3 linked regions of the Oryctolagus cuniculus genome follow. The protein of the gene in region 2 interacts with the protein of the main gene of each other region in a pairwise test. Links are inferred from orthologs where the notes say so. Each region holds a gene or a part of one and is shown on either strand. Other genes may lie near its edges.

What was found.
Region 1: the proteins of ARL6IP1 (region 2) and SHMT2 interact in binary tests that used the Homo sapiens proteins (3 or more experiments, as listed by UniProt). The two-hybrid records come from large-scale screens. The link is inferred for Oryctolagus cuniculus from reciprocal best matches to the Homo sapiens genes ARL6IP1 and SHMT2.
Region 3: the proteins of ARL6IP1 (region 2) and GAD2 interact in binary tests that used the Homo sapiens proteins (3 or more experiments, as listed by UniProt). The two-hybrid records come from large-scale screens. The link is inferred for Oryctolagus cuniculus from reciprocal best matches to the Homo sapiens genes ARL6IP1 and GAD2.

The regions. Positions count from the first base shown.
Region 1 is NC_091442.1:59,865,729-59,871,227, reverse strand, and holds the start of SHMT2 (serine hydroxymethyltransferase, mitochondrial), read right to left. Parts: upstream 3,822-5,499; 5' UTR 3,727-3,821; coding exon of another isoform or gene 3,694-3,726; intron 2,708-3,693; coding exon of another isoform or gene 2,510-2,707; intron 2,082-2,509; coding exon of another isoform or gene 2,002-2,081; intron 1,836-2,001; coding exon of another isoform or gene 1,664-1,835; coding exon 1,635-1,663; intron 1,339-1,634; coding exon 1,257-1,338; intron 1,083-1,256; coding exon 960-1,082; intron 880-959; coding exon 740-879; intron 538-739; coding exon 372-537; intron 191-371; coding exon 91-190; intron 5-90; coding exon 1-4. UniProt on the Homo sapiens protein: Catalyzes the cleavage of serine to glycine accompanied with the production of 5,10-methylenetetrahydrofolate, an essential intermediate for purine biosynthesis.
Region 2 is NC_091450.1:20,961,346-20,966,844, forward strand, and holds the start of ARL6IP1 (ADP-ribosylation factor-like protein 6-interacting protein 1), read right to left. Parts: upstream 3,588-5,499; 5' UTR 3,434-3,587; coding exon 3,398-3,433; intron 1,469-3,397; coding exon 1,335-1,468; intron 865-1,334; coding exon 745-864; intron 1-744. UniProt on the Homo sapiens protein: Positively regulates SLC1A1/EAAC1-mediated glutamate transport by increasing its affinity for glutamate in a PKC activity-dependent manner.
Region 3 is NC_091444.1:103,723,763-103,729,261, forward strand, and holds the start of GAD2 (glutamate decarboxylase 2), read right to left. Parts: upstream 3,326-5,499; 5' UTR 2,478-3,325; coding exon 2,402-2,477; intron 1,785-2,401; coding exon 1,725-1,784; intron 1,579-1,724; coding exon 1,429-1,578; intron 783-1,428; coding exon 549-782; intron 1-548. UniProt on the Homo sapiens protein: Catalyzes the production of GABA.

The DNA of each region.
Region 1 (5,499 bases), on a different chromosome or scaffold from region 2:
CCACCTAATGGGGGGATAAAAATGGGAGCGTGGTGAGTCCTGGGCCTCCACCCAGAGCTCCAAAACCCTCATCCATCCTCCCTGGCTCACCGGACACCAGGGAGTAGCCTCGCTCCAGCAGCGCGTCAGCCATGGCCCGGGCGTTCTTCAGAACCTGCAGGGAGTACTCCCGGAACATGGGGGTGCAGGCCTGCAAGTAAGACAGCAGCAACTGTGGCCCTGCCCGGCTTCACCCCCAGCCTGCCCCCGGACTCCAGCCTTGGCCTCTCCCGCACTTTCCTTCCATCAGCCCCCACTTGAGTTAGCAAGGTGCAGAGGCCATGCCCTCGGGCCTGTGTGCCCCATCCAGTCCCCAAGAGCAGGCTGCCCACCTGCTTCAGGGCCACGGCTACTGCAGCAATGGCATGGTTGTGGGGGCCCCCCTGCAGCGATGGGAACACAGCGAAGTTGATCCGGTCCTCAAACGTGTAAGGGATCTCCTGGCCAGTCTTAGGGTCCACGGTCCGTACTCCCTTGCGGTAGAAGATGAGGCCCGACCTGGGTGCAGGGTGTGTGATCAGAGGCTGAGCTGGGGAAGGTGGAGGGAGCTGGCCGGCCTGGGCCCCTCGGCCGCGCTTGATGTTCTGGTTTCCCACCCCTGCGTCCCCTGCCAGGGAATGGCCACCATGGACAGACTGGGTGGACAGGAACAGGGTGTGAAGGCGGGGAAGGGCAAGGCCTGCCCGCAGAGAAGCCTGACCTGGCCCCTCGGAGAGTCTTGTGGGTGGTGGTGGTGACAACGTCGGCATGCTTGAAAGGTGAGGGGATCACCTTGGCAGCCACCAGGCCGCTGATGTGGGCCATGTCTGCCAGCAGATGCGCCTTGACCTCGTCACACACCTGGACAGGTAGGGAGACAGGCCTCAGCAGGGGAAGGCTGCACCCCTTCCCAAACCTCTGGGCCGGGGCGCCCCACCAACCTCTCTCATGCGGGCGTAGTCAATGAGGCGCGCGTAGGCACTGGTCCCGGCTATAATAAGCCGCGGCCGGAAAAGCCGGGCAGTCAGAGCCAGCTGCTCATAGTCGATGAGGCCGGTTTGGGGCTAGACAGGAGAGACAGACAGCCAGCTCAAGCCCTAGGGAGGCAGCAGGGCAGCTCCCTCTCCCCCCCGGTCCTCAGGGCTGCCCAGGGCTCCAGCCCCCCACCTCATCCCCTGCTACCGCCTGGACAGAGGAGCCCCAGGCTGGAGCAGCCCCGTCTGTGGCACAGCACTCACGTTGAGCTTATAGGGCATAGACTCGAAGAAGATGGATGTGGCTGATACACGCTTCACATCGGACATGTAGCCGTGCGTAAGGCTGGGAAAGGAGCAAGGGTTAGGGGGCCTCAGAGTGGAACGAGCCAGACTTAGCCACTCCCTGCCTGCCAAGCTCCCCAGGCCTCTGTCCCAGAACACAGCTCCCCGCTCGTCCGCCCGCCCTGCTCTGTCACTCTGGTGGGCTCTGATGCTGCCAGTCTCGCGTCCCTCATCCACAGTAACACATGGGACAGGGACAAGCCTGTGCCGTCCGCACGGCGCGCGAACAGCAGGTGTCGGCAGAAAACTCCTTCCTTACCCCAATCCCGCCCCCTCACTGTTCCCCTCCATACTCACTGGCCCCCATCAGGCAGGTCCAGCCCCATGATGCGGTCGTGAGGCTGCAGAAGGGCTGTGTAGGCAGCCAGATTGGCTGGGGACCCCGAGTAGGGCTGGACGTTGACTCCCCACTGGGCAGGATCCAGGTCAAAGGCTTCCAGGGCCCGGCGCTGGCACAGCAGCTCAATCTCATCCACCACCTCTGCTCCCCCGTAGTATCTGTGGCAGGAGAGGCGTGCATAAGGGCCCAGAGAAGGGACCTGGGCCAGCAGCCAAGGACTGGCAAGGTCACTCCTCGATAAACACCGGGAGGGTCCAGGTAGGTCCCCCGTCGGGAGCACCAGCCCTGATGTCGCCCTCCAGCCCTGGGGTGCCTCGCCCTCACCTCTTGCCAGGATAACCCTCCGAGTACTTGTTGTTCAGACAGGACCCCAGGGCCTCCAGCGCAGCTCGGCTGCAGAAGTTCTGGGGTGGTGGGGGGGCAAGGTCAGACGGCACGGAGTCCCTCCCTCTGGACCCCCACAGCCCCACCCTGCCAGGGCCCCGCAGGGAGCTCAGGGTGCCTTGCCAGAGGCACCATTCTCAGAACCCCAGCTGCCACGATGCGTGTCCCCAGCGAGGCCCCTGGTGCACCCTGACACGTGCCTCCAGGCTGCTCTTCCCTCCAGGGAGGGCAGGAGGAAGCGGAGGAGCCTGGAGCGGACCTGGAAGGCTGTGGGATGCCTGGATGCCACATCCCCTTAAGCAGGCTGGCTCTGTCGTCGTTTGAGAGGACAGTCCAAAGAGGAGACACGCCCAGCAGAAAGGGCCGGGCCTGAGGGGACACCAGAAGTCTCACTAAGACAACTTCTTTCGTCCTGCACCTGCTCCACGCCCCGCTCCCAGGGTCCCACCTCTGACGCAATGAGTTCCAGGCCACGGCACTGCCTGTCCTTCTCCCTCTGCAACAGCTCCCACATCTCAGGGTCAGTGTCCGAGAGGCTCTCCTGGCCGGTCCAGCCCCTGCTCGCTTCCCCAGTCTGAGTCTGCGCCGCCTTGCCGTGCTGAGCCCGCACGGCCGTCCTGACCAGCGGACCACATCTCTGCAGAGGCTGGGGGCAGGAAAAGCCAGGGTCAATCCCAACTCACCCAGGCGGTCTCCCAATCACCCCCAGCCAGGCTCACACGGCCCTCTGGCCATACACCAAATGGCCAGTGGTCCAGCCAGCTGGCTCCCGTTCTTGCCACCTCCACCTCTATCTTTCAAAGCCAGTTCCAGACCAAGGTTGAGATCAAGGTCCAGGGGGTGGTACTGATTCACTCCACTCAGCTCACCTCCTTCGAAACTCCCTCCACCTCACCCCAGAAGCCATTACGTGAAGTCCCAGGGTAAAGTTGTCCTCCATGTCTGTACTCCCCAAACCCCAAACCCAGGAAAGGGCCCCTGAGGTTCTAGAACCTGCCCGCCCACAGGGACAAAAGGGCCATCTGGGGTGGTGGTGGGGGACCTGCTACCCCAGGCCAAGTCCACACAGGCTGTGGAGGTGGTTTTCCCAGGGATGGAGGTGGGAGGGTAGACCCTCTGCAGCCCCTGGGTTACAGGTACGTGTTGGGGAGGGGAGTTGTTTGGCTGAAAGGGAAGCCAAAAACCATATCCTGTTCCCTTCACCCCTAACTTTTCCACCTCCGTCCAGCCACACTACCGCTGGCTGGACCCCTGCCTGATGCAAGCGGTGGGGCTCAGTTGCATCATGTGCATGGTTCAGAGCCGGCCGCAAAGGTTCGGTTTGCTGGTCCGGGCCGGGAACCCAGCTAGTTCCCCAGTACAGGGTCCCCAGGGCATCCGGCGCGGTCCTCTCCCCTCGTGCCACGTGAAGTGGGCGGTCACGCGGCTCTGTGGCGACTGAACGCTGGAACAGCGAGGGTCCCCAGCTCACCCCTCGCGTGCCCAGCGGTTTCGGGGAACTCCCTAGTTACATACATACATGAGCACATGCGGTGGAAAAGCCAAGAGAACCCCAGAGTTTGTGAATGGGAACTAGGAAGGGGGAGGGGTTCTTTTCCACTAGTCACCCTGCCTCCGGAGCCCCATTCTTACCCGAACTGCCCAGAGCAAAGAGAAGGGCAGCATGGCAACCACAGGTCGCAGAAGGTCCAGCCACCAACTCTGGCCCGAGGTAGCAGGGGGTCGGAAACAGACCCGATGTGAGAGCGCGTGCGCGAGATCTACCCGCCGAGCCAGATTTCAGGGGCGGGATCTACGCATGCGTGATAGTGACCTTTTGAGCCTTTTGGGAATTGTAGTTTTTCTCGTTTCTTCCGCTTCTTTCCCCCCATCTGTAGTCCCAGGATTAAAAGCCCTTGCCTGGAATAAAAGAGATTCATTGCCACCCTACTCCTTACAGTTCAGCTTTTCAGGATTTCATTTTCTTGTCGATTGTCAAGACAAGTTGATTGGGTGCGTACTGAATACCTAGCATTATTAGCAATCTGGGAGATTCAAAGACTCCTGTACAAAACAGAGAGCTGTTATGGTATCCTGGTTTACAAGGGGGAGAGACCTGAGTTCAAGTCCCAGCTCCAGGACTAACTAGCAAGTTAGCCTGTGTGGGCCTCAGTTTCCTCACTTGTAAAGCCACAGTGAAATAGCACATGCTGGGTGATGGACTGGCAGTATTCATGGGAAGTGCTCTGGGGCTGATCTGCTTCTGAGCCACCCCGGATCCCTCTGAGGCCGTCCTCTGCCTTTCCTGACAAACCCGAGAGCAGACAGCCCCTCCTGTTATGCACCTGTTGCGTTCTGTTGCCTGTTCATCAGCCTCTTGATGTCCCAGCAGCCAGCGAAGGCCTTTATATCCAACCCCAGAGGCACAGATCCTGGGAACCGGGAGGGATCTTCTCCTTAGCCTTCCTTCATCTGGATAAAACCCCTGGGCAGTTCCCAGATGAGTGAGAGGCCTCTCCTCAGAGGTGGTTGACAAAGTGTGGGCATTCCGCCCACTTGTGCTAACACATAAGCAAACCTCTCCTCCGGGAACCTAAAAAGCAGTGGTTTGGGGAACCATTCCTCACACAGCCATATTACACACATTCATCCATTCATTCAACTGACAAATGGAACTCCGGCTCCGCCGGGAGCTGGGCATGGCACTGGAGTTATTAAGGAGGGCTCACTGGCTGCTGGGACATCAAGAGGTAGACAGGTTGGGGCCAGCGCCCTGGCTTAGCAGGGTAAGCCTCTGCCTGCAGCTCCAGCATCCCACATAGGTGCCGGTTCAAGTCCAGGCTGCTCCACTTCCGATCCAGCTCCCTGCTGATGCACCTGGGAAAACAGCAGAAGATGGCCCAGGTGCTTGGGCCCCTGCCACCCACGTGGGAGACCCGGAAGAAGCTCCTGGCTCCTGGCTTTGGATCGGCGCAGCTCTGGCAGTTGTGCCCATTTTGGAGTGAACCAGAGGATGGAAGACCTCTCTCTCTCTATATATATATATATATGTGTGTGTGTGTGTGTGTGTATAACTCTGCCTTTCAAATAAATAATTTTTTTTAAAAAAAGAAGTGGACAGGTTACAACATGTGTCTAGATCAGTAATATGCAGGGATGCCTCACTCTGCTCCCAGAGGCCCAGAGGGAGTGGGGAGGGGCAGGGAGGGGAGGAGGAGGTGGCCTTGGAGGAAACAGGTACCTGAGCCAGAGGAAGAGGAGCTGATCTGTCCCACAAGTGTGTTCCCAAGCAAAGTCTCATCTCCTCCCCCCCACCCCGTGTGATTTTACGGCGACATCGTTACAAGGGAGGAAGCCGAGGCCCACGGAGCTACCTTGCTAATTCCAGTCATTCCCACCTAGTGGTCATACCCTCAGCTCCAACCTCCTTCCCGCCACTCCAGCTCAGCTTTCCTCAGG
Region 2 (5,499 bases):
AAGACGATCCAAGTGTTCGGGCCCCTGCATCCACATGGGAAACCCAGAAGAAGCTCCTGGCTCCAGGCTTTGGATGAGCCCAGCTCTGGCCATTGTGGCCATTTGGGGAGTGAATCAACGGATGGAAGACTTTTCTCTCTGTGTCTTCCTCTCTCTGTAACTATACCTCTCAAATAAATAAATAAAAACTTAAAAAAAATAAAGATAACTGTGGGGAGGGCCCATAACCAACAGCAAATACACTAGTTTAAGTTCTTTCTTAAATGCTTTGGGCATTTTTTAACATAGTATATATTGGTTTCTCATAATGACAAAGGCAATTTAGTGGAGGAAGCTTCTTTTTGATATTTGAAACTTAAAGGTCCAAACATTTCACAGCACCGAGACAAGTGTCTCACCCAGCAGACTGCTCCTGGTCACTACATGACTGTGGACTACAGTCGACCAGTTACCTTTTCCTATTTATTCAAGAATAGTTTGTGAAATAGCTGATCACCTCAAATATCAACAGAAATGGAAATGTGCACCTGTTAGGGAAAGCTCACTGAGATGTTTGTTAGTCCTCACTGAAACTGTACCTTCAGAAAGCCCGTGGCAGTAAATGTAAGTTTAAACCACACGGGTGAAGGTGAAAACGCCTGAATGATTCGACAAGGCTCTGCACTTAATCACAGCACAGTAGCCACGGCCACCAGGTTCAGGAAGGCCTCTGAAATTAAACCGGCAAATCACTGTGTCACTTACCATTTATTGGAGCCAAAAATCCTGGGTGCTAGAATGGGAACAAGGTAGTCAGCCAAGCACAAAAACATAACAAAGCAGGAAACACCGGACAGAACAGATGGGTCCAGATAGTAGATAATCCTGTTAAAAAAAATTAAAGAAGCTTAGAAAACAGCCAGTATTATGCCTGGCTGCAGATGCTTAATTTCACAATTCACTCAGTGCCGTGGTTCTCAGAGACGTTATTTGGCACTAATTTCCTCACCAGTGGTTTCCAGAGGCTTCATAGCATGATGACGTCACAGCCGCAGTGGCTGATATAAATACCAACCTACAAAGGCTTTCGGAAACCCCCAGTACTTTTTAAGATTGTAATGGTAAGATGGTAATGGTTTTGAGCCAAAAGGCTTGAGAGTCACCGAGTTATTCAACTGCGTCAAGTTACCAAGCTTACATAAGTACTACCAACTGTGGAAACCCAGCACGGCTTGTAAGAAAAGGCATTCTTGATGGATTACAGGCTACAAAAGGCTTCATTAAGGTGCTGCCCTGAACAGAGCCTTCAGCGCTACCAAGCGCACGCAGCCCATGGAGTCCCCCGGCTCACTTACAGAAACACCAGGGAGACCACAGCCAGGAGGGCAGGCGGGAACCAGGCTCTCTCCCACCGCAGCACTTTGTCGGCCAGAAGCATCACCTCTCCCCAGCCCTGCAGCTGCTCCTCCAGACTCGCCGTCTCTGCAGCCTACACGGGGCAGAAGGGAAAGCGGCCATTTCATCACTCAGCATCTCCGTGGTTCTAACAGTTACATCTTCCCAAGGCCAATCAATAGGTGAAACACCTCCTCATTCCAATCTTCAACAGTTTCCTTTCTGAGGAACTCTGCAATTTTGTACCAAAGATGGGAATCAACCAGGGGGCTAGGGGAAGCCTCTCCTTGTTTTTTTTTTTTTTTTTAAGATTTTATTTGAAAGAGTTACAGAGAGAGGTAGAGACAGAGAGAAAGAGAGAGGTCTTCCATCCCCTGGGTCACCCTCCAGATGGCTGCAACTGCTGGAGTTGCACTGATCCAAAGCCTAGGAGCTCCCTCCCCATCTCCTACGCGGGTGCAGGGCCCCAAGGACTCGGGCCATCTTCTCCTGGGCAGAGCCCACCCTGTAGTGAATCCAAGCACGGGGCGACTCCTCACATACATGATGGAGCTCAACCCTTACAGAGCTGGCAATGTAGGGATGCGACTCATTTCACAGTGAAAGCAAGTGGGCTCCAAACCTTCCCAGGCGTGGACAGGCAATCAGTGGCAGCACCCAGAGTGCTAATCAGATTAGACCACTCCAGGTTTGTTCATTTCAGGTGGTGGGAACTGGCCCGCAGCTCACTCACTTCATCCATCTCAATCCTACTCTCAATCCATTAGGAAAGCCTTCCCCTGAGCCGCACTCACCTTCTAAAACGGCTCTGTGTAACGGGAGCACTGAGATAGTGGGCTCCATTGCAAAATTAAGGAAAACAGCTTTCCAAATTACAAGTGCCATTCTACAGCGCTTCCTGTCGCTCGGGGTAGACTTCCAGTGTTCCTGCAGCCCTGACATCCCAAAGTGGGCCTTGAAGACGAGCTCAGGCCACAAACTCCCTGAAGCTCATCTTGGTAAAGGAGAAAACACTGGAACAGGAAACCCCAACGTCCCTGTGAGTACTTCCCCTTAGAACTAGGTGTCCTGGCTTTATCGCTCACGCTTACGACTAGTTAAATCAGAGATCACATGTGCCAAGAACCTTAAACTTCGCCTGATCCTCTCAATCGCCCTAGAAAGAAGGGGTTGTTGCCATCCCCGTTTCGCTGATAAGGAAACTGAGACGCAAAGGAGTTGACAGCGTCGGCCCCGGGAAGTCAAAGGCCTTGCTGTCCCTGCAGTCGGGCTGCTCTGCTGGGGACCCCAGGCTCCAGGTGAGACTCGGCTATTGCAACAGGACTTGGACAGCCTCGCTGTGCTTGCACCGATTCTCTTAGAAAGCAGCAGCGCAAAGCAAAAAACCACGCCCAATGCAAGCCGCCCTTCTGAGTTCGCCAACATCTGGGACCTTGGAACGCTCTCTCGGGTCCTGCCTGGACCGGTGCAGTTAAATCCGAATCCAATACGTCCACCCAAGGCAGGGCCTCGCTGCAGCTCCCCCGGATCCTCTCCAGCCGTCCTGTGAGCTCCCAGCCCCCGGCCTTCCCAACTCCAGGCCCAGGCCCGGTTCCCCATGGGGAGCTCGCAGCCTCCCTGTCCTTGTAAGCTGCGCCAGCTCCAACAGAAATCCTCGGCCGTGGCCCTGGGACCCTCCATCCCCGCTCAAGTCTTAGACGGAGGAGGACGAGCGCTCGCCCAGGGTGAGATCCAAGGCGGACAGGACCGCGGCGAGGCCCGAAAGCCACCGCGCGGCCCCTCGCAGCCCCCGTCCCGCACTCCTCAACCCCCACTCGCAGTGACTAATCACGCGCCCTCCTCGCCCCGCCGCGCACCGCCCACCGGGAGCCGCCCACGAACCCCGAAGGGACGGGGGTCTCCCGGGCTGGGCCGAGGAGGGACGGGCCCGTGGCGGGGACAGGAGCGAGGCCGCGACGACCGTCCCCGCCGAGCCCACCGGCCGGCCCAGCTCGGTTCCTGCGGGCAGGCCTCCGGGACTCACCAGCAGATTGGTGCTGCGATTATCTCCCTCCGCCATCGTCCGTCAAGAGTCGTCTCAGCGAACCCGAGCCGCCTCTCCAACCTCAACCTCCGCTGGAAACCCGCACAGTGAACACAGCGCGAGGGAACGCCCCGCAGGTCGCTTATATAGGCCGGCCGCCTTTCCCGACAGCACCCGCGACGCTCGCTCCTCATTGGGTGAATCGAGCGCAGGTTTCAGGAAAGCCCCACCAACCACAGCTCAGCGCATGACTTGAAATCGAGGTCAAAGGAGAGAGGGGCCGCGCCGGGCAGAGGGGGCGGGGAAACGGAATAACCAATGGGCGCCCAGGGATTGTGCGGCGCCCCGCCCAGGGCTCGCGGAAGCGGTTCAACTGTCGCTGCCGGCGGCGGAGGTTTGGTTGGCCGAGAGTGGACGCCACCGTAGCCGCGGGACCCTCCCGGCGTTGGCTCCGCTCAGCGCCTAAGGAACCCCTCTGGAAAACTGAGTAGTCGTAGAGGTGTGCGGTGTCAGGCGGAGGGCAGAGATGGGCACGCGGCGCGGGACAGTGGCTGGGGCGGGCCGACCGCGAGTCCGTCTCCCAGCGCCGCGGTCCCTCGCCGTCCCCGGCCTGTGAGCGGCTTAACCCAGATTTGTGACTCGTGCCCACCTCGTGAGGTTCTGAGAACCAGTGAATGGAGCTGTTGATGTGGCTTCTGCCGCAGCGTATTCAGGAATGAGGTCTTTGGGTGGGGGTGGGTGTCAAAGTGAGAGAGAAATCCTTCATGGGGCATTTTTTTTTTTTTTAATTTATTTATTCGAGAGGCAGGCAGAGTGAGAGAGGCCTTCCATTCTCCGGTTCACTCCCCAAGTGGCCCCAACGGGTAGGGGGGCTCAGAGCCAGGAGCTTCCTCCGGGGCTCCCATGCAGGTGCAGGGGCCCAAGGACTCGGGCCATCTTCCATTGCTTTCCCAGGCCACAGCAGAGAGCTGGAACTGGTGACCCAATGGGATGCTGGCACTGCAGGCGGCGGCTTTACCCGCTAAGCCACAGCGCCGGGCCCCTTGGTTTAAACTACAAACTCCCCCTGTACCAAGTGATTAATAGCGCCTTCCTTCCATTAGAGAGAGCTGGATGAACTCTGTTGAGATCCTTCTCCATCTTTTCCATCTTGGACTTCAAAATGCGTTAGCAAGCTCTTGTCTGAATCACGCCAAATGTTGGCCTAGACAGAGGTTCGTCTCAGGGAAAGTACTGTACGCTTTATCCTTATAAACCCATGTGTATTAATGCCACCGACTTTATCCTGAAAGCACTCTTCAAATAACAACCAGGTTCTGAAAAGTTCAGGGAAGTCAAAGAAAAGCCCTGAGCAAACTGGACCAACCAGGAGCCTTGTGAACTTAGCGGAAGTGTCAAATCTGACCGCGATCTTTGGGGGCGGGGCGATCACCTGGCCTCCCCAACGTTAGAGGTCTCTGCTATGGGGGACGCTGCAGGAAAGTTCAGGTTGTATAGGTAACGTACAGTCAATAAAGACCTCGTTTGTTTTACATTGAGAGCTGCAGCTCCCATCCACTGGTTCCTTTGCCAAATGGGGCTGGGAAAACCTGACAGGAGTGGAGAACTCAATCCAGGTCTCTCATGTGGGTGTCAGGGACCAACTACTTGAGCCATCATCTAATGCCTCCCAGGATCAATTCAGCAAGAAGCTGAATCGGGGGCTGGCGCTATGACGTAGCAGCTAAAGCTGCCATCTGCGGTGCCGGTTCAAGTCCTGGCTGCTCCATTTCTGCTCAGCTCTCCGCTGTGGCCTGGGAAAGCAGTGAAAGATGGCCCAAGTGCTTGGGCCCCTGCATCCACGCGGGAGTCCCTGAAGAAGCTCCTGGCTTTGGATTAGCCCAGCTCCAGCCATTTGGAGAGTGAACCAGTGGGTGGGAGATCTTTCTGCCTAGCTCTGCCTTTCAAATAAGTAAAATCTTTTAAAACAAAAATGGAATCAGGAGCTCGAACCAGGAGTGGAACCCATGCACTCTAACGTGGGACACAGGCTTAATGCTCACGCTTTGGCAGACTTTAAAGCTCTGGAGTTTGAGGAGCAGGCTCTCCTCTGTCTTTAGAAG
Region 3 (5,499 bases), on a different chromosome or scaffold from region 2:
TTGCTCGTCCACATTGTGGTTTTGGTGTGGGTGTGGAGAAAAACCTGGAATTCAGATCTGAAGTCTTGGCCATTGAGACAAAGCCAAAGAATTCTCTCTCCAGCTGGATGGTGACACCGAGTGGTTATTCTAGTGTCTGGGTGGTTCTGTGCCTAGGGAAGGACCAGCACCCCACTAGCATTCAGGCTTTTGTTTGAATCATGCCTTTTGATCTTTCCTTTCCATATCCCCTTTCTGTCTCCATTTTGGGTCGCTTCTACTGGCCTCTGCTGCTACACCAGCGGTTGATGTCTGTGGCCAAATACATGCAACACAAAAGCTGATGATGTATACTTAGCGTTTGTGATTTTACCAGAAGCATCAACAGTTATCACGCTAGTAAAAGGTGCTTTTGACTGGAATCAGTCTCCTAAGGACAATTTCTGAAATGATGGACATAACATTGCACGTTTGAAAAGAACAGGAGTTCCACAAAACGGAAAGCATGTCATGGGAACAATACAAATCGTAAATGTAAAAAGAGCTTTATTATTGCAATGGGACAATACCTGTTTTAATTGCATATTTTAGAGTTGTTTGGCAATGCATCAAAATTTCCTCCAAATTTTGTGGGTGCTCTGCCAGTTCCCAATTATACTCTTGAAGAAGCTCATTGGGATAATGGAAATCGATCACTTTGGTGGATCGATCAAAACTTTTCACCACGTACTGAAGCAGAATGTCCACAACCTCTTGCAGAAAGGCGAGGGTGGGCCTCTCGCCCCCGAAGGCGGGCAGCAGGTCTGAGGGACGGAATAAAAAGGCCACATTTCAATTTACCCGTGAATACACGCAGGCAGTATCTTGATCGGGCAATTTCTCCTTGAACAGATTATACGATTTTTTTAAAGAGCATTTTCTGTAAAGGGATCACTTTTCACAGAGGAAAGCAATCAATGAGAGGAAATACGACTTCTCTTCCCTTCCTCATCAATTCTTGCAATTTCAATTCCTAGCTTATTGTTCGTTTTCCTTTAGACAAGAGAGCGCGGCTCCATTGGTCTGTTCCCAGGAGCGCATCCTAACTGTCACTTCTCAGTGAATCCTCTTAGATGCCTACGGACGCATTTTCACATCAGCAGTGTCTGGGGAGTGCCTTCGGGCGCACCTGGCTGCGCAGAACCCAGCACGTTAGGGTTTCGGGGCCATGGAAGACCCGCTCTTTCCGCGTCGATGTGTGTGTGTGCATGCACGCGCGCGCGTGTGCGTTTGGAGACCGGGCGTGCAAATGCACGGGGAGTTGTAGGGGTCAGCTTCGCACACGGCTGTCGCTTGAACAGAATCGAGTTTCTGTGACACCGCTCTGATCTCACCCCCTGAGTCCCGGTCTAGATACCCGGACCCCGAGTCTCACCTGGCGCGCGGTGGGTGGGGCCGGGCCCGTTTTACCTGTTGCGTGCAGAAAGGCGTAGTTGACGTCCGCTTTGGGGCAGCTGCAGGGCTTCTGGTCGCAGGCACAGGCGGCCTTCCGGGCGGGGGCCCGCGAGGGCTGGTTCCCGCCGCTGTCGGCTGGCTTCTCGGTGTCCCCGTAGAGCAGCGCTGCGCAAGGATGCGGAGAGCGCGGGTTGCGGTCAGCCGATGGGGATGCGGGGGTGAGAAGGTGGCTTTGACCCGGCGCGCGCGCGCTGCAAGCGCCTGACCTTGCCCGCCCCCAACGCGCCCTTCCCTGGACCCCGGGCACTCACCGCACAGCTTGTTTCCGATGCCGCCCGTGAACTTCTGGGCCACCTGGCACCAGGCTCTCGCTGCAAGGAGGGCAGAAAGAGAGCGCGGACGCAGGTGTGAGATTTCGTTCTGTGTGAACACCGCCAACCCGCGCGGGGTCAGGGCAGGGGCCGCCTTGTCTCCTGCAGGGGCCTCCCCGGACTCCGCGCGGCTGCAGGTGCGGAAGGCGTGCAGGAGCCTCGCAGCGCGGCTGGCCCTCCATTCAGTCCGTGCATCTGTTTCGCAAGGAGGAGCCCAAGCCACGGCCCTCCACCCTCACCCACCAAATGCCCATCGGCCAAGGAAGCTCTCCTCCCCGCCTAGGCACCCAGGATGTCCATGTCCTCGCATGCTGTTTCCAGACCTAAAAATCCTCTTCCTCTTTCGCATTTTCCCCACTTTCTCAGCCGCCACTCCGCCCCTCCCCAGCGTCCCAGGCCCCCGGGATTCGGTGTCCTGGAGGTGCCGTCGTCTTTGGGGATGAAGGAGCCTGAGGCTCCTGGACGTCTTTCCTGGGGCCGCCAAGGACTTAGCCCTGGAGCAGGGCTAAGGAAGTTTTCTGATGCAGGGAGTCTTCCCCTGCCTCCTCTCTCCTCCCTGGCATGCACACCCCAGGGCACCCGCAGATCTCGCCTCATGCCGTCTCCCGTTCTCGTACCTGTGCCAGGGTTCTCGGGGTCTCCGGAGCCATCTTCAGTCCCGAAGGACCAGAAGCCGGAGCCCGGAGATGCCATCAGCGCTGCGAGCCGGGAGCAGGTTGCTTCCGAGTGCGAGCTGCTGGGGAAGCTGCCACCAGCTCGGCCCGGTGCGCGCGCGCGCGCGTGCGTATGTGTGTTGTGTGTGTTGTGTGTGTGTGTGTGTGTGGCGGGAGGGGGCACCGCGCGCGGCGAGGGTGGGTGTCACACAGGGACAGCCAACGTGCGTGTCTGCCTGCGCGGGTGCGCGCGGCGGGTCGGGCTTAGGGATCTGGACACGCTTTGGAAGCCGTGCAGGTTCAATGGGGAAGGAGTCAGGGGGACCCGGACAGTGGAAAGTACAGGGCGCCGGGAGGGAGCTTAGTGGGGATGGCTGAGGGGGCGGCGGAGAGAGGACGTGGGCGAGGGCGAGGGTGCGAGGCTGACTGCGCGCGCCAGCTTGAGTCAGAGGCCCCAGTGGGAGGCGTGCAGGCGCGTGAGCCCCCGCCCGCCAGAGCGCGCTGTCCAGGGTGCTACCGAGGCCGGCCGCGCACGGACCTCCGCCAGGGGCACACAACAGGGAGGACGTGGAAGGTGGCTGCTACTGTTTCACTGGTGCCCCGAGGGGCGTATTGCGTGGCTCCTGCTGCGTGGAAGGAAGCGCGGTTCCCGCGCCGCCTTTCTCCAAGCGAGTACTGAGGTCGTGGCGACCGCAGAGCCAGAATCGGGCGCCGGTCACGACGAGCTTCCGGAAGGAGGAGGTAGAGGAACAGCGCCCACGCACGGGTGGGCGCGTTTCAGCTCCTTAGCAGAGCCCGAAGCCTGTCCTGGGGCGCGCCGCTCCTGCGCAGTCCCGCGCTGGGTGGCCGCGCCCTCTGTCCAGGTTCAAAATCCACGCTGGGGTCTGTCACCGACGACCTCCGGCTAGGAATAAAATCATAAAACGCACCGACGCTTCTTGGGAGGGAGCAGGGGAGAGTGGCCAACGCCGGCGGGGTTGATGGCAGACGGGGGGATGAGGTCACTGGGTGACCTTGGCTGGACAGGCGTGGATGCGCCTGCTGCTCGCAGCGTGGTGGGGAGAAGCGCGCGGGGTTCCAGCTATGCAGCCTGGGCTTTCCAGATCCGAGCAAAGACACCATCCACCGGGCCCTCGTTTTTTAGGGGATCCCAAACCAACGATCCCTGCGCCCCAAGAGACTCTTCACGGTGGGTGGGATCTGCTGTCTCCGAGGTTCTGGGGTGGGAAAGAGGTTCCTCATTTTCTAAGGAGGAGAAAGCATCTTTTCTCCGCGATGATTTCTTTTTTCTAAAAGCTGCCGACGCTGGGAATGCGCCCAGAGTGTCTGGGTTCCCCGAGTTCTTTTTTGCTTTCTCTGGGCGGCCGAGATCAACTTGACATGCACCTTGGCTGCTCCGAGACTGACCCGGGAGGGAAAGGACTGCGTTCGGCCTCCCGCGGCACCTGCCCGCCGGCGCCTCCCGGGAGCCTTCCTCATTTCCTTCGGGCTCGCGGGCGGTTCTCCCAGACCTCCCTAGCCAGTTATCAGATCGGTTTCTCAGTTTCGGCTACCACCCCTCGACGCTTGCTCGGGAGTAGGAGTCGTGGGGTCCGAGGGGACCACGCGCAGGCCCACAGCTTGCGTCCCCAAGCGCACTGTCCCCGGGCCAATGCTCTCCACAAAGCTTTGTTCTCTCCCTGCGTGCCCGAGTGCTGGGGATCCGGCAGGAGCCATCGGATACGCCCTGTGGCCGCCGTCCTGGGGCGGGGGGTGAGCGCGGGGAGCGCACTGGTGGTGGAGCCGCGGAGGGCGTGGCGCTGAGCCGGGCAGTGTGGAGCAGCTCCGGCAGGGCTGCAGGGGCGCGGCGGTCAGGCACGCAGGCTTTGGCTGGGCCCCGCTTTCCCGCCCTCCCGGCTCCAAGTGTTCCAGCTGGCCAGGCGACAACTCCGGGAACGCAAAGACTTCGTGGCTCAGCTGTGCGCGCCGCAGCTAGGGCAGCCCCGCGGCTCTCGATCCAGCCGCGCAGATACGAGCCGGGGAGACTGCTTCTTTGATGAACTCCACGCCAAATTCGGCAAATACTTTGCTTCAAGGCAGCAGGAACTTTTCCACTAGGGATGAGTGGTCGAGAATTTAAAACAAGCGTTCAGCGCGCGCGCCCACAGAGGCAGAAACGGATTAAAACACGAGGAAGGTAGAAATCCCCTCCACATTTTTATTTTATTTATTTTTTTGGTAAGGCGATGATTTACAATGCTTCTGTTTAAACTCCATGAAACCCCCTAGCTCCGAATACTTTAAGTCTCACGGTGTTATTCCTATTTTTCCCCTTTTTTATTTATAAACACACACGTTACTTGAGAGGCAGACGGGGATACCCAATTTGTCTTCCTTTAACGCTGCCTAGACAGCGGTTGGCTTGGTAAAGACTTGGATTTCGCAAAAGAGCCGGCTCACCCTCTTGCTGGCGCTCCGGGTTGCAGATAACAAAAGAAGGCAGGGAGCTCATAATTACGGTCATTAGCGCACAAAGGAGGCAGCCAGCGAAGCGCGCAGAGGCGGGCCGCGCAGGGGGCGGCTGTCCAAGGCCCTTCCTTGGACGACCCAGTACCTGTTCTGGGCTCCGTTTCGCCCTGGGATCTCGCCGCCGTCCGGGGCCAAAGAAGAGGGCCCAGGAAAAGAAAGCAAGCGAGAGAAAGCCTAAAAGGAAACAAAAACATGGCACCCTCCCGCCGAGCTCTGTGTCTCCAGTCTCGCTTTTTGGCAGTGTGAGTGTGGCTGGCGGGAGCGGCTCCGTCATCTCCCGCATCCCAGCCACGAAAGGCCGGGCCGCCGGGCCGCCCGGGAGGTCTGGATTCAAAGACGCAACTGCAGCTCGGCGCAGCTCGGTTTGCTGCCCCTCGAGGGTCTCCGGCCTGGGTGAAAGGCTGGTTAGGGCCGAGGGCCCCGGGTCGCCGCGAGTTACGGACGCTTCCCCTCCTCTACACTCCGTCCGCAGGGCTCTGCAGCTCCCTGGATATGGGCAGCCCGGGGTGACCCCTCTCCCCTCCAACATTCCCTCCCTACCCCTGCCCCCAGCC